Sus scrofa: one gene and its partners. The protein of the gene in region 1 interacts with the protein of each later gene in a pairwise test. Links are inferred from orthologs where the notes say so. Each region holds a gene or a part of one and is shown on either strand. Other genes may lie near its edges. The genes, in order: FLAD1, PRTFDC1 and REL.

What was found.
Region 2: the proteins of FLAD1 (region 1) and PRTFDC1 interact in binary tests that used the Homo sapiens proteins (3 or more experiments, as listed by UniProt). The two-hybrid records come from large-scale screens. The link is inferred for Sus scrofa from reciprocal best matches to the Homo sapiens genes FLAD1 and PRTFDC1.
Region 3: the proteins of FLAD1 (region 1) and REL interact in binary tests that used the Homo sapiens proteins (3 or more experiments, as listed by UniProt). The two-hybrid records come from large-scale screens. The link is inferred for Sus scrofa from reciprocal best matches to the Homo sapiens genes FLAD1 and REL.

Annotation. Positions count from the first base shown.
Region 1 is NC_010446.5:94,810,613-94,814,322, forward strand, and holds the start of FLAD1 (FAD synthase), read right to left. Parts: upstream 2,809-3,710; 5' UTR 2,731-2,808; exon of another isoform or gene 2,663-2,730; intron 2,268-2,662; 5' UTR 2,124-2,267; coding exon of another isoform or gene 2,043-2,123; 5' UTR 594-2,042; coding exon 1-593. UniProt on the Homo sapiens protein: Catalyzes the adenylation of flavin mononucleotide (FMN) to form flavin adenine dinucleotide (FAD) coenzyme.
Region 2 is NC_010452.4:50,364,290-50,368,038, reverse strand, and holds the start of PRTFDC1 (phosphoribosyltransferase domain-containing protein 1), read right to left. Parts: upstream 2,386-3,749; 5' UTR 2,254-2,385; coding exon 1,879-2,253; intron 1-1,878. UniProt on the Homo sapiens protein: Has low, barely detectable phosphoribosyltransferase activity (in vitro). Binds GMP, IMP and alpha-D-5-phosphoribosyl 1-pyrophosphate (PRPP). Is not expected to contribute to purine metabolism or GMP salvage.
Region 3 is NC_010445.4:80,898,644-80,902,292, forward strand, and holds part of REL (proto-oncogene c-Rel), read right to left. Parts: intron 3,148-3,649; coding exon 3,005-3,147; intron 670-3,004; coding exon 521-669; intron 1-520. UniProt on the Homo sapiens protein: Proto-oncogene that may play a role in differentiation and lymphopoiesis.

The DNA of each region.
Region 1 (3,710 bases):
AGTCCCTTGAGCCCCTCCAGCACCCGCCGCAGCAGCTCCGGAATTCCGGGGAAGAGGTAGACGTTTCGGACAGAGACCAGTGGGAACCTGAAGGGACGGCCTGTGCGAGGGTCTGTGCCATAATGCAGGCGGGCAGAGGAGGGCACCCGCGACAGCTTCTCCCAGCCTTCCCCTCCTAGGCCTCGGATGGCCGCTTCCAGCTCAGGGTGGGGCTTGAGCTCGTCCCCAAAGGCCTGTGCTACTGCCTCAAAGGTCACATCATCATGGGTGGGGCCGATGCCCCCTGCTGTGAGGACGTGGGTGAAGCGGCTGGAGAAAGACGTGACCTCAGCTGCAATGGTGGCTACCTCGTCGGGCACAACGGAGACTCGGCACACCTGGACCCCCAGGGAGCGCAGCGTCCGGCACAGAAAGTAGGTGTTGGTGTCCTGAGTGTGTCCCTGGGAGATGGGGGGTGGGGAAGACGAGTGTGTCAGTGCTGTGGGGATGAAGGGCAGAGGGGGAAGGAAGGAGGCTGCATGTGCCTGGGGGTGGGGCCCTCTGCTCTTGGGGGGACACCAGCCCTGACTGGGCACAAGAGTGGCAAGATCCATGTGGAGTCAGGGATGATGTGAACCACCTTGGGCTTCCATCTCTGTCCTTTGACCTTGACCTCATCTATGCTTCTGGATTCAATCATCAATCGTACATGGACAGCTCTTCCACTTCCTCAGCAACTCTGACAGTTTCGGTCTCCTGGTTCCAAGTGCTTCCTGGGCATCCTTCCCCCAACCCAGGCTGTTGTCACCTTGGTCAATGGCATCCCCAGATACTGTCCACAGCCAGTCAGCCCCTTCATGCTGTCAACTCTACTTCTGAAATGTGTCTCTCCATCTGCTCTCTTCTCTTGTCCCTCCTGCCACCAAACAGGTCCTTGGCACCTTTCACCTGGACAGTGGCGACAGACCCCTGGCCAGGCTCCCGGCCTCCAGCCACAGCGCCCTGCCCCATGCGTCCCGAATAACCTTCCTAACGTGTCACTGTGATTGCATCACTCTTGGCTCAAAAGCCATTTGTTGTTTCCAACCCTGTACAGAATAAAGTTCAAATACCTCTGCAGAATATTCGAGGCCGCCTGTCTATGGTGTGTATGCACTCTTCCTTTCCAGCTCCATCTCCTTCTACTTCTCCACAGAGTTTAGCGGTTAAGGGTGACTCTGGAGTGAGAATCGGGTTGGAATCCCATCTACCACTTTTTAGCTGCTGTTCCACATGGGTGAGTCTCTCAACTCTGAGCCTTATTCTCATAATCTATTCATTGATATTGACAGTAAAAATACCCACGTCATGGGGTTGTTGTGAGGATCAGTAAAACCACACAGGCCATGTAATAAGCACGCTGCCAGGCCCTAGTAAGCACGTAATAGTACTACTGTGAACCTGATGCTCACCGTGACCTCTCATGAGACTTCCTTGATCATTCAGAAGGGATTTCTCCCTTCTGGTACTTTCCTTCCATCCCACTTAGCTACTCTGCTGAATGCCTCGGATCATTTTCCAGTTAGGCTGGCTATAACTCTGAAATAATACCTCCTGTATACATGGGACTCCTTGTCATTTTTTTTTTTCCCACCACCCCACTGCATATGGAGTTCTCAGGCCAGGGATCAGATCTGAGCAGCAGTTGTGACCTATGGTCCAGCTGCGGCACTTCTGGATCCTTAACCCACTGTATCCCACTATGCCAGCCAGGACTGGAACCTGTGGCCCAGCGCTCCAGAGAAGCAGCCGCCTATCCCCGTTGTGCCACACCCGGAATTCCTCCTCATCATTGCTGTTAAAGCCTCTCCTCCCCTCCCACACAGCATGGCTAATTATAGGGACTTTGCTACAAGTTTTTCAGCAGAGTAATTGAATAAATGAAGGTCACTCTTCCTGCAATATACTGGACTCACTCCAGGACCCTACGGTAGCAAGGGGGGCTCCCACCCTGGTTCACCCTCCCTTAACAGAACGTGTTAGGAGAACGCTGCACCCTCCCCCCTCTTCTGTCCCAGACACACCTTGAGGATCTCATCTCCAACAATGATGATGCCCGCCGTCACGCTGCGCCCTGGGGGAGGTTCAGAGGCCCTAGATGCCATGGTCCTGCCTTCTCTGCCCCTCCGCAAGGCCCTCCAGTAGCCACCCAGACCCCAAAATAGGGGTCGCAAGCACTGGGGGCCCGCCAGATCTACAGGGCACTGGGGGTCATAGCCTGGGAACAGGGGTTCCGGGGTCGAGGGAACCTGGAGGAGCCAGAAAGGACAATAGGGGAGAGCAGGAGTGCACCGTCTTCCTCATTAGGCCCTTGACAATCGACTCCTTTACACCGGCCCCTTTAATAAACCTGCTCTCAAACCCTAGCCCATACCTCTTTTTATGTTTTCTAGGCTCGGTTCTAGTCTCCTGAAAATGTTCCCTCCAGAACATCTACCACTTTAAATGTCTTCTGCCCGCCGAACTCGGCTCCTCTAGGGTCCGCTCTACCTTGCGCATCTGCGCCTTTAAATAAATGTCTCTTCTCTTTACCGCACCTGTTCCTTTAAATGTCTACCTTAGCCTGGGCCTTGGCCCCTTTAAATGCGTTCCCTCCCTCCACCCCCAACCAGAACTCAGCCCCTTCTTCTGCAGCCTTCCGCACCCTTTCCAGCCCGGAATACTGTCTCTTCCCGCCACGCTTCAGACTACTGAGCTTTTCCAGGTTCTCACCTGCCTCTTGCCCTTTCACCGGGTCTTTCCCTCTCTCCTCCTGTTTCGGGGCAGCTTCCGTACTCAGAGTCCCGCCTTAGACTCATACCTACCTCGTATTAATTGGTCATTTTGGCTGTCGCTCAGACTACTTCTAAGGGCCCATTGGTGTAGTCGATCATCGCTCGAGAGCTGTAGCCAGTGGGCGGGAGTAGTGCTGGGTTGTTATTGGTGACAACCACGTGGTCACCCCTTACCCGGAAACGTGGGGGCTGGCCTTCAGTCGGGGGCGGGGCTTCTTTTCCCTCGGGGCGGGATTTGGGGCGTCTCTGGAGTGAAAGGAGCGATGAGGGGTGCAGGTGCTTTAAGGGCTTTGGGGTTTCCTGTCTGGTGGTGGAAGTAAAGGGAGGCTTGACTCTAATCTCCTTTCTGTGTTCATATTTCTTTTTTTTTTTTGGGCCTGTCTTTTTAGGGCCGCACCTGCGGCATATGGAGGTTCCTAGGCTGGGGGTCCGACTGGAGCTGTAGACGCCGGCTTACGCCACAGCAACGCCAGATCCGAGCCGCGTCTGCAACCTATACCACAGCTCGCGGCAACGCCAGATCCTTAACCCACTGAGCGAGGACAGGGACCAAGCCCGCGCCCTCATGGATGCTAGTCGGGTTCGTTAACTGCTGAGCCACGACGGGAACTCCTGTATTCAGATTCTTGTATGCATATCTGTTATTCATTAACAGATGACTCATTCTAAGGGGTCAGGGGCTAATATCAGAGGGGATTTTATATTGTAGCAGATGGAAGTTGCACGGACACCAAAAAAATTGGCAGCATTGCCTGTGAGGTAGCAAGATCCTGGAGGTGAGCTTTTAGTGTATGGAACTTTCATTTGTCCCTGTTATAAACAATAAAGCTAATTACTTAAACCTCTTCGACAAGAAAAAGTCTTGCCCCACCTTGTTCCAGATGGTTCTTTAAACATAACCTCTCCCAGTTAATTGGT
Region 2 (3,749 bases), on another chromosome or scaffold:
AGTCTTCCTATCTGCCTTCTCCCAGACACTCTGCTTCTTACACTGGGGGCTTTCCAGGTTTCTACCCTTAACTATGGTTTTACTTCCTTGCTCCACCCCATGTTCACTGGGCATCGCTCTCTAATGCCAAGCATCAGATATTTTTCTATTTATTGACAATTTCCAAATCTATCCAATCGCCCTCCTGAATTTCAAATAGGAATTTCAAATTGCCTCCTGTGCATCCTGACCGTAGGCTTTACAGGCACTATAGGCTCAGCTTCTCTTAAATTGAACTTAATTTTCCCATTTTATATTTTCATCCCCCTCCAACTCACCCCATCCCTAGGTCTAACCATCCTCTCCATGGCACCTGGAGTGACTTTAAAAAAAAAAAAAAGCATAAACTGGATGCCATGATTTCTTAGAATGTGAAGATTTCTTTGCACTTGATAGGCATTGCTTGGACAACCCTTCTTCAGAGTCTGTACATGGCTACCTACTGCTTAGCTAGCATCTCTTGTCATCCAGAGAGGCCACTCCCACCGTCTGAGCTAAAGCAGCATCCCCGGCCCTCCTGCGATCACACTTCATCTCATGATCTCTTTTCTTTTCATTGCACACATCACCATCCGAAAGCATCTTCTTTATTTATTTGCTTTCACACTGCTTGTCTGCCTTCCCCTCTAAAATGTAAGCTTCAGGAACACAAGGCTATGTCTTGTTTCCCCTGAGCCTAGAACACTACCTGTACCCCAGCAGGACAGTCAACATTAGTGGGATGCTTATATAAATGAATGCCTTCTCCTTTAGGAGGGTAAGGTCCGGCTATGAAATTAATACTGGGCAACATAGTACAACCTGAACAGGGCGGTTAGAGTGAGGGCTTTCCAAATCCAAACTTCCTACTCTTCTAGTCCTGTCCCAGCCACAGATTATCTGTTCATCACAGGCTGATCTCAAAACAAAGACTCTTCACGTAGCAAGTTAGCCCCACCCACCACTCCTCACCGCCGGTTCACTTTAAACCTGACACATTAAAACCACCACCTTCCACTGAAACCATTCTCTTCCGAGCAGAAGCCGGCGGGCCACAGGGCAAGCCGTGACTGGAATCAGGACACTGAGAGATGGCTGCCCACCGGGTGATGAGTGACTACGAGCAGTTCCCAGGGATAAAGAGCCTCTGGTCTGGGACCCCAGCATCCTACATCCTCTCACCCGCCACACTTTTAGACACCCTACAATCATCCTCTCCAGCTGGCCCCACAGGCCCAGCGTGCTGTGCTTTCCTTTTGCAGAAACTGGCGCTTGCTCCAGGGGCGCTAGCGTGTCCCGACCGAGCTCGAGCTCGTGCAGAGGACCCACAGAAAGGAGTCTGAGCCCAGGTTTCAAAGCTCAAACTCCGTCCACTAGAGCTACTTTATTTCCTAGCTGCCCTAGAGAATCCTCAGTATCCTTTCTGGAAACAAAACGTGAAGCCTACACTGGAAGAGTCAGGGGGGAGTACAATAGGAGGAGTCCCACAAGAGCGGCCCGCGGGGGTCTTCACAGACCTGCCCGGCCCCCAGAGGTGATTCCTGTGGCCAGCAGGAGGGGGACCCGGCACCACACAGGCTTAATGCTGGCGGATTCCTGGCGGAGGCGGAGAGAACACTGACAACACGGGGTGAAGGGATGTTAAATGTGGGGTCAGATTGGGCTCGGGGGTGGGGGTGGGGGTGGGTTGGAGGATGGAAGCGATCCCGCCGGAGGGAAGAACAAAGCCGTGGCCGCCCTCTCCCGAATGCATTTCTGGCGTTTAATCGAAAAGGCGGGGGGAGGGGGGTGCCAGGAAGGGAGGGGAGGGGAAGGCGCGGGGAGCGCGCGACTCGGCCCGAAATCGGAGTTTGCATTTACCACCACGCCTCGCCCGTAGTCTGGCGCCTCCTCACTGCTCCCGGCCATGTTTCTCCGGGGAAAGCGGGAAGGAAAGAAGGCGCGGGAAGAAGCCTGGAGGGTGACGGGCCGGGAGGGGGAGGGGTGGGATGTGGCCGCCCCGCCCCGCCTCGGTACCGCGGGCGGGAAAGCCACGGCGCGCGGACGACCCCACGCCTGGCGCGGCTCCAGCGCCTCGGCCGGCGCCGCCAACTCGGGCCGGTTCTCGAACGCGGGGCGGGGATGCGGGGCCCGGGGCGGGGGCGCAGCTGCCGAGCGGCGCGCGCTCCACCTGAGCGCTGGCCCCGGCGCCCGCGCGTCTCCCCTGCGGCCACCGCCCGCCTGCGTGCTCCGCATCCCGCCTTCTGTCCCGCGCCCCGCGGGGACTCGGGAGACCCAGGCTGCCCGCGGCTGGGCTTTTACAGAAACAGAAACGGCGCCCAGGTCCCCTGCCTCCCTAAGTCTGTCGTCCCAGCTTTCAGGCTAACGAGGTCCTTGAATCCTTCCTGCTGACTTGTAGGCGCTCTTTATCCCAAGTCCATCCACGAAAGAGTCTGCGGTATGGGATATTCTCCAAGTACGGCTGTGGGCGAAACTAGGATGTGTTCTTTAAGTCCTCGAACTGCCCAGCCAGGGGTTTGAAAGAGCCGTGCGGTGGCCCATCCCTGAACCACGCCCGCGGTTACAGGATTAGGACTTGGAAATAGGGGCTTTCCTTTACCGCTTTCAGGGCGAAAAAAAGATTTTTTACTCATTATCTACTTTACCACTTTTGTAAGAACAAACGGTCAAATTTTGATTTTCTCAGGCTGCAGTTTAGAGCTGCCGATTAAAAAGCCTCCCTTGAATCTTTTGTTAATTCAACCCTGATCCCAGCCTTCCCCCGACTGAGGGTCCCGGTTCTTTGTCCATTCCTCAAGGGCCCTACTTTCCCTTTATATGTATTCATCGCCTGGTTTCTGCAAGCTCGCCTCATCCTTTGCAGCTCTGCTCTGGTGGGAAGCCCCGAGCTGAGGGCGGGTCTCCGACTCGGACCTCTATTTTGTTCATCTGTGGGTTCTGGCACAAGGCAGGGAGTGGAATGCTGATTTGCTTGATTCCAGGGGGAAATGGTTATCAATCAGTTAATGTCGCCCTGGGTTGCAAAAACCAGACGTGGCTGTGCTCAGCCCTGTTTGTCGTTACCCTGTCGGAAGTGACAGCACGGGAAAGGCGGGCAGCTCCTTGGATCGCTGAAACTAGGCGCTGTGCTTGCAGATTGGCTCCCATAAACCGAGTGAAAGTGTTTCTTGCACAGGTAAACGTTTTCTCTCAGTAACTGTCAGATGTCCTTGTCTGGGGCAATTTCTATAGTCTCACTCATCTCTTTTCTCACAGGTGAGGGGCCATCTGCTATTTTCATTGCTAAAGACTGAGCCCAGGAAGCATCTTCACAACCTGAGTTCCAGGAACTGAAAACTGATGATCAAACTTTAGGGTTCAGAAGACTCTTGGGTAGCCAGCCACTTCCCTACTCCGCACATTCTGGTGGAGAAGCTGTGTGTTCAGACTCAGAAGTCTGTGCTGCTAAGGCACCCAAGAGAATGAGGCAGAGGTTGCCAACCATGCCTTAAAGATGCAAATTCACATTTACCCATAAGAGCTCAGAGTGTACACTGGGTCTTAAGGAACACAAAAGTTACAAATGTCAAAGTTACAGGTGTAGTTGCTCTATAGAAGTCAAAAAGCAACAACGGTGGGAACTGTGGGAAATGATAGATACATCTTCTTTCCTTAGACTGTTAATATAATGTAAAACCAATAGGTTCACAATGAATAAAAACGCACTTACTTGAATGACAACAGGAACCTTA
Region 3 (3,649 bases), on another chromosome or scaffold:
CCATGAGGATGCAGGTTCGATCCCTGGCCCTGTTCAGTGGGTTAAGGATCCGGCGTTGCCGTGAGCTGTGGTGTAGGTTGTAGATGTGGCTCAGACCCTTTGTTGCTGTGGCTGTGGTGTAAGGCCAGCGACTATAGCTCCAATTCGACCCCTAGTCTGGGAACCTCCATATGCTGCAGGTGCAGCCTTAAAAAGACTAAAATAAATAAATAAATAAAAAAGAGTATCTTTAATAAATTGCTCAGACTAAGAAAGAAAACTGCAGCATAAAATAAGTTTATGTTTGCTTTTAGTAACAATAAAGAAGTATACCTGCTACCATCATGGGCCACATCTACTAAAAAAGGAGGAAAGGGTAGTTCTTATAAATGATAAGAAAATTTAAATGTATACTATAGTAAATAGAAGGACAATGAGGAATCAGTTTATTCCGCTAGAAAATAACAGATGTACATGGGTAGGAAACAAGAGCATCCTATGTTTATCCTATTCCTGAAAATGTTTGTGACTGTGTACTTACCACAAAGGTCTGCGTTCTTGTCCAAATTCTGCTTCATAGTAGCCATCTCTGCAGTCTTTTCCTACTAAATCATGAGGATGTGGTTTATATGGGTCATTCTTTGTTACTAATGTAATTCTCACTTTTCCTTTTCCAAAATAGTTCTTAATCTGAAAAGGAGGGAAATCAGATATATGATCCATACATACATCTCATTAAGAACTGATCTACTAAATGAGGGTTCAATTTATATACATTAGTTAGCATTGGATAAATAAAAGTCCAAATGATTATCAAGTGCAGTTTGGAAGAAACTTTGCAGAGAATACCAGTAGAGAAGAATTTACCACTCAGTTTCTTGGCATATTATTCTGTGTCCTAATTTTAATCGGTCATATCACCTCATTCTGCTTATTTTCCTTCTTTTGGGGGAGGGGTCTTTTTTAGGCCTGCATCCATGGCACATGAAGTTCCCAGGCTAGGGGGTCACATCATAGCCATGGCCGCTGGCCTACACCATAGCCACAGCAATGCCAGTCTGAGTCGTGTCTGCGACCTACACCACAGCTCAGGGCAATGCCGGATCCTCAACCCACTGAGCGAGGCCAGGGATTGAACCCGCAACCTCATGGTTCCTAGTCAGATTCGTTTCTGCTGCGTCACAACAGGAACTCCACTAGTCAGGTTCTTTATCTGCTGAGCCGCAATAGGAACTCCCTTATTTTCCTTTTATTTTTTTAAATTAATTATTTATTTATTTATTTTGTCTTTTTGCTATTTTTCGGGCCACTCCCGCGGCATATGGAGGTTCCGAGGCTAGGGGTCTCATCGAAGCTGTAGCCGCCGGCCTATGCCAGAGCCACAGCAATGCGGGATCTGAGCTGTGTCTGCAACCTACACCACAGCTCACGGCAACGCCGGATCGTTAACCCACTGAGCAAGGGTAGGGATCGAACCCACAACCTCATGGTTCCTAGTCGGATTCATTAACCACTGCGCCACGACGGGAACTCCATTTTCCTTTTAAAACAAGTAAAATTATACCAAAATATTATCATGGAGCATGAGGAAATACTAAGATGTTGAGTCACTGAATGCAATGCTCTTATATTCACTGTCATACCATAAACATCCCTTGAATGTATATATTTAAGCCACAATGGAACACATTTAAGCCACCATTATGGTCAAGTATGGTTGTTACTTAATACATGACATTTCATTTCACAAAAATATCTTTTTTTTTTTTTAAATCAGAAAGTGTATCCCAAGTATTCACTGTACCATAGGCAACAAATTAGGCTGTTTTGCAAAATTAAGTTTTCACATAGTAAGTAGATCTATGACACTGAGAATGAAGAGTTAAACATGGGAGAGGAAGGAGGACTCTACACAATGTAGGGAGGAGTTTATCTTTATTCTGGAAGATGGAAAATTTGCAAGCACAAAGCAAGGAATATAAAAACCAGCAAACAAGGGAGCGAGGCAGCTGGGTAAGAATGGGTGGCTTCATAGATAAGTGGGCATTAAAATCTATAATTCTGAATTTAAACCTAATTTGAACAGTAATCAGAAAGTATTTATTGCCTTTCTGAATAAAAGACAAGGTAACGACTTAAAAGTGTAAGGTAGGCTCAAGTGGAACTCAAGCTGCAAAGTTGTTTAGAAACTACTGGAATGGTAAGGATAAAGATCTTAGAAATGGTTAAGAGAATGTACAGAATAAGCTGAATTATGGAGAAGAGTTAAAAATCACTCTTAAAGGAGTAGAAGATTAGCTTTTTTTTTTTTTTTTTTCCTAGAGCCACACATGAGGCATATGGAAGTTTCCAGGCTAGGGGTCTAATGAAATGTAGTATATAAACATAAAATATAAATGTAGTATTTCTATAAATATAGTACATTAACAAAGTCATTTTGGATCAAAAACTACTTTCAAAATTTATGTTAATATGAAAAAACTATATTTAAAAAGTGACAATATTTCAAATCAGTCAATGCAATCCAAAGTATCAGGGATAGGCAATAAACGTAAAGAGGAAAAAAGGCAAAAATGCTCTTTTTTCCATAGCCCCTAGATTAGCCAAGTGATTGCAGGAAGAATTCCGAATTTCCAAATACAGGTTTTTAATCTCCAGAACAATCTTGCTCACCACTGGAAGGAAAGAATGCTTTTTCCTCATTAGCTTTTTGTTCCATTAAAGGTGTTGTCATCCAAAAGTTGCCGATGTACTCTAAGCACTGGGAATCACTCTACACAGATTAACACTCAATATATAACAATCTGCAGGGATGAAGACTCTATACTTTATTTAAGAAATGTGCCTAGAGATCTATGCAGTATGGATCAATTACAAAGAAAAAAAGGAGGAAAAGCTGGTGACGATCACTGTGATGAAGCTGGGTCTTTAATGTAACTGCTGTAGTGAAAACATGATGCAGCTGACACACACACACACACACACACACACACACACACACACGCAGAGGAGAACGATCTGTTACCTGGATAGACGGGTATGTTCGGCTGCTGTCTGTGCTGTGCTCCCCTGGAATGCTGCCTGCTGATCGCCCTTCACATTTGTATCTAAAACGCATTCCCCTCTGTCTGGGTTGTTCCGTAATCTCTATATATGGGTTATACCCACCTAAAAATTTTAAAAGGGAGGAGGGTGAGATTATGATAGAATTAATAATGGATCTTTAACCATCTTGTTTTTTCCAAAAGAGTAGGCTAAAAATTTTCCCCTCTCAATATTAAATGACAAAGTTGAAATGTAATTATTCAAGACTGGGTGGATAATTTATTTGATTTTCTCTCTCATTCGAGTTCCCATACAGTGTAAACACAAGCCATTCAAATCATATTTACTGCTGAGCACTTTATCGTTTAATATCTCTAACTAATGCCAGTGTGAAGTTCTGCGATAACCACTTCAAATATCCACTTCTCACCTGAGACCAAGCAGAAGGGTTTTCCCCAGAATTTTCCCAGAAGGGTCAAGAAGACAGTCTTCAGAAGTGCAATATTATACTCCAAAAAAGACTTTGCCTGACTTTACATTAGATTTATCTTAACAGTGGACTAAAAGACTGTTCATTGAAAATGAAAATGTGGAGTTCCCATCGTGGCGCAGTGGAAACGAATCC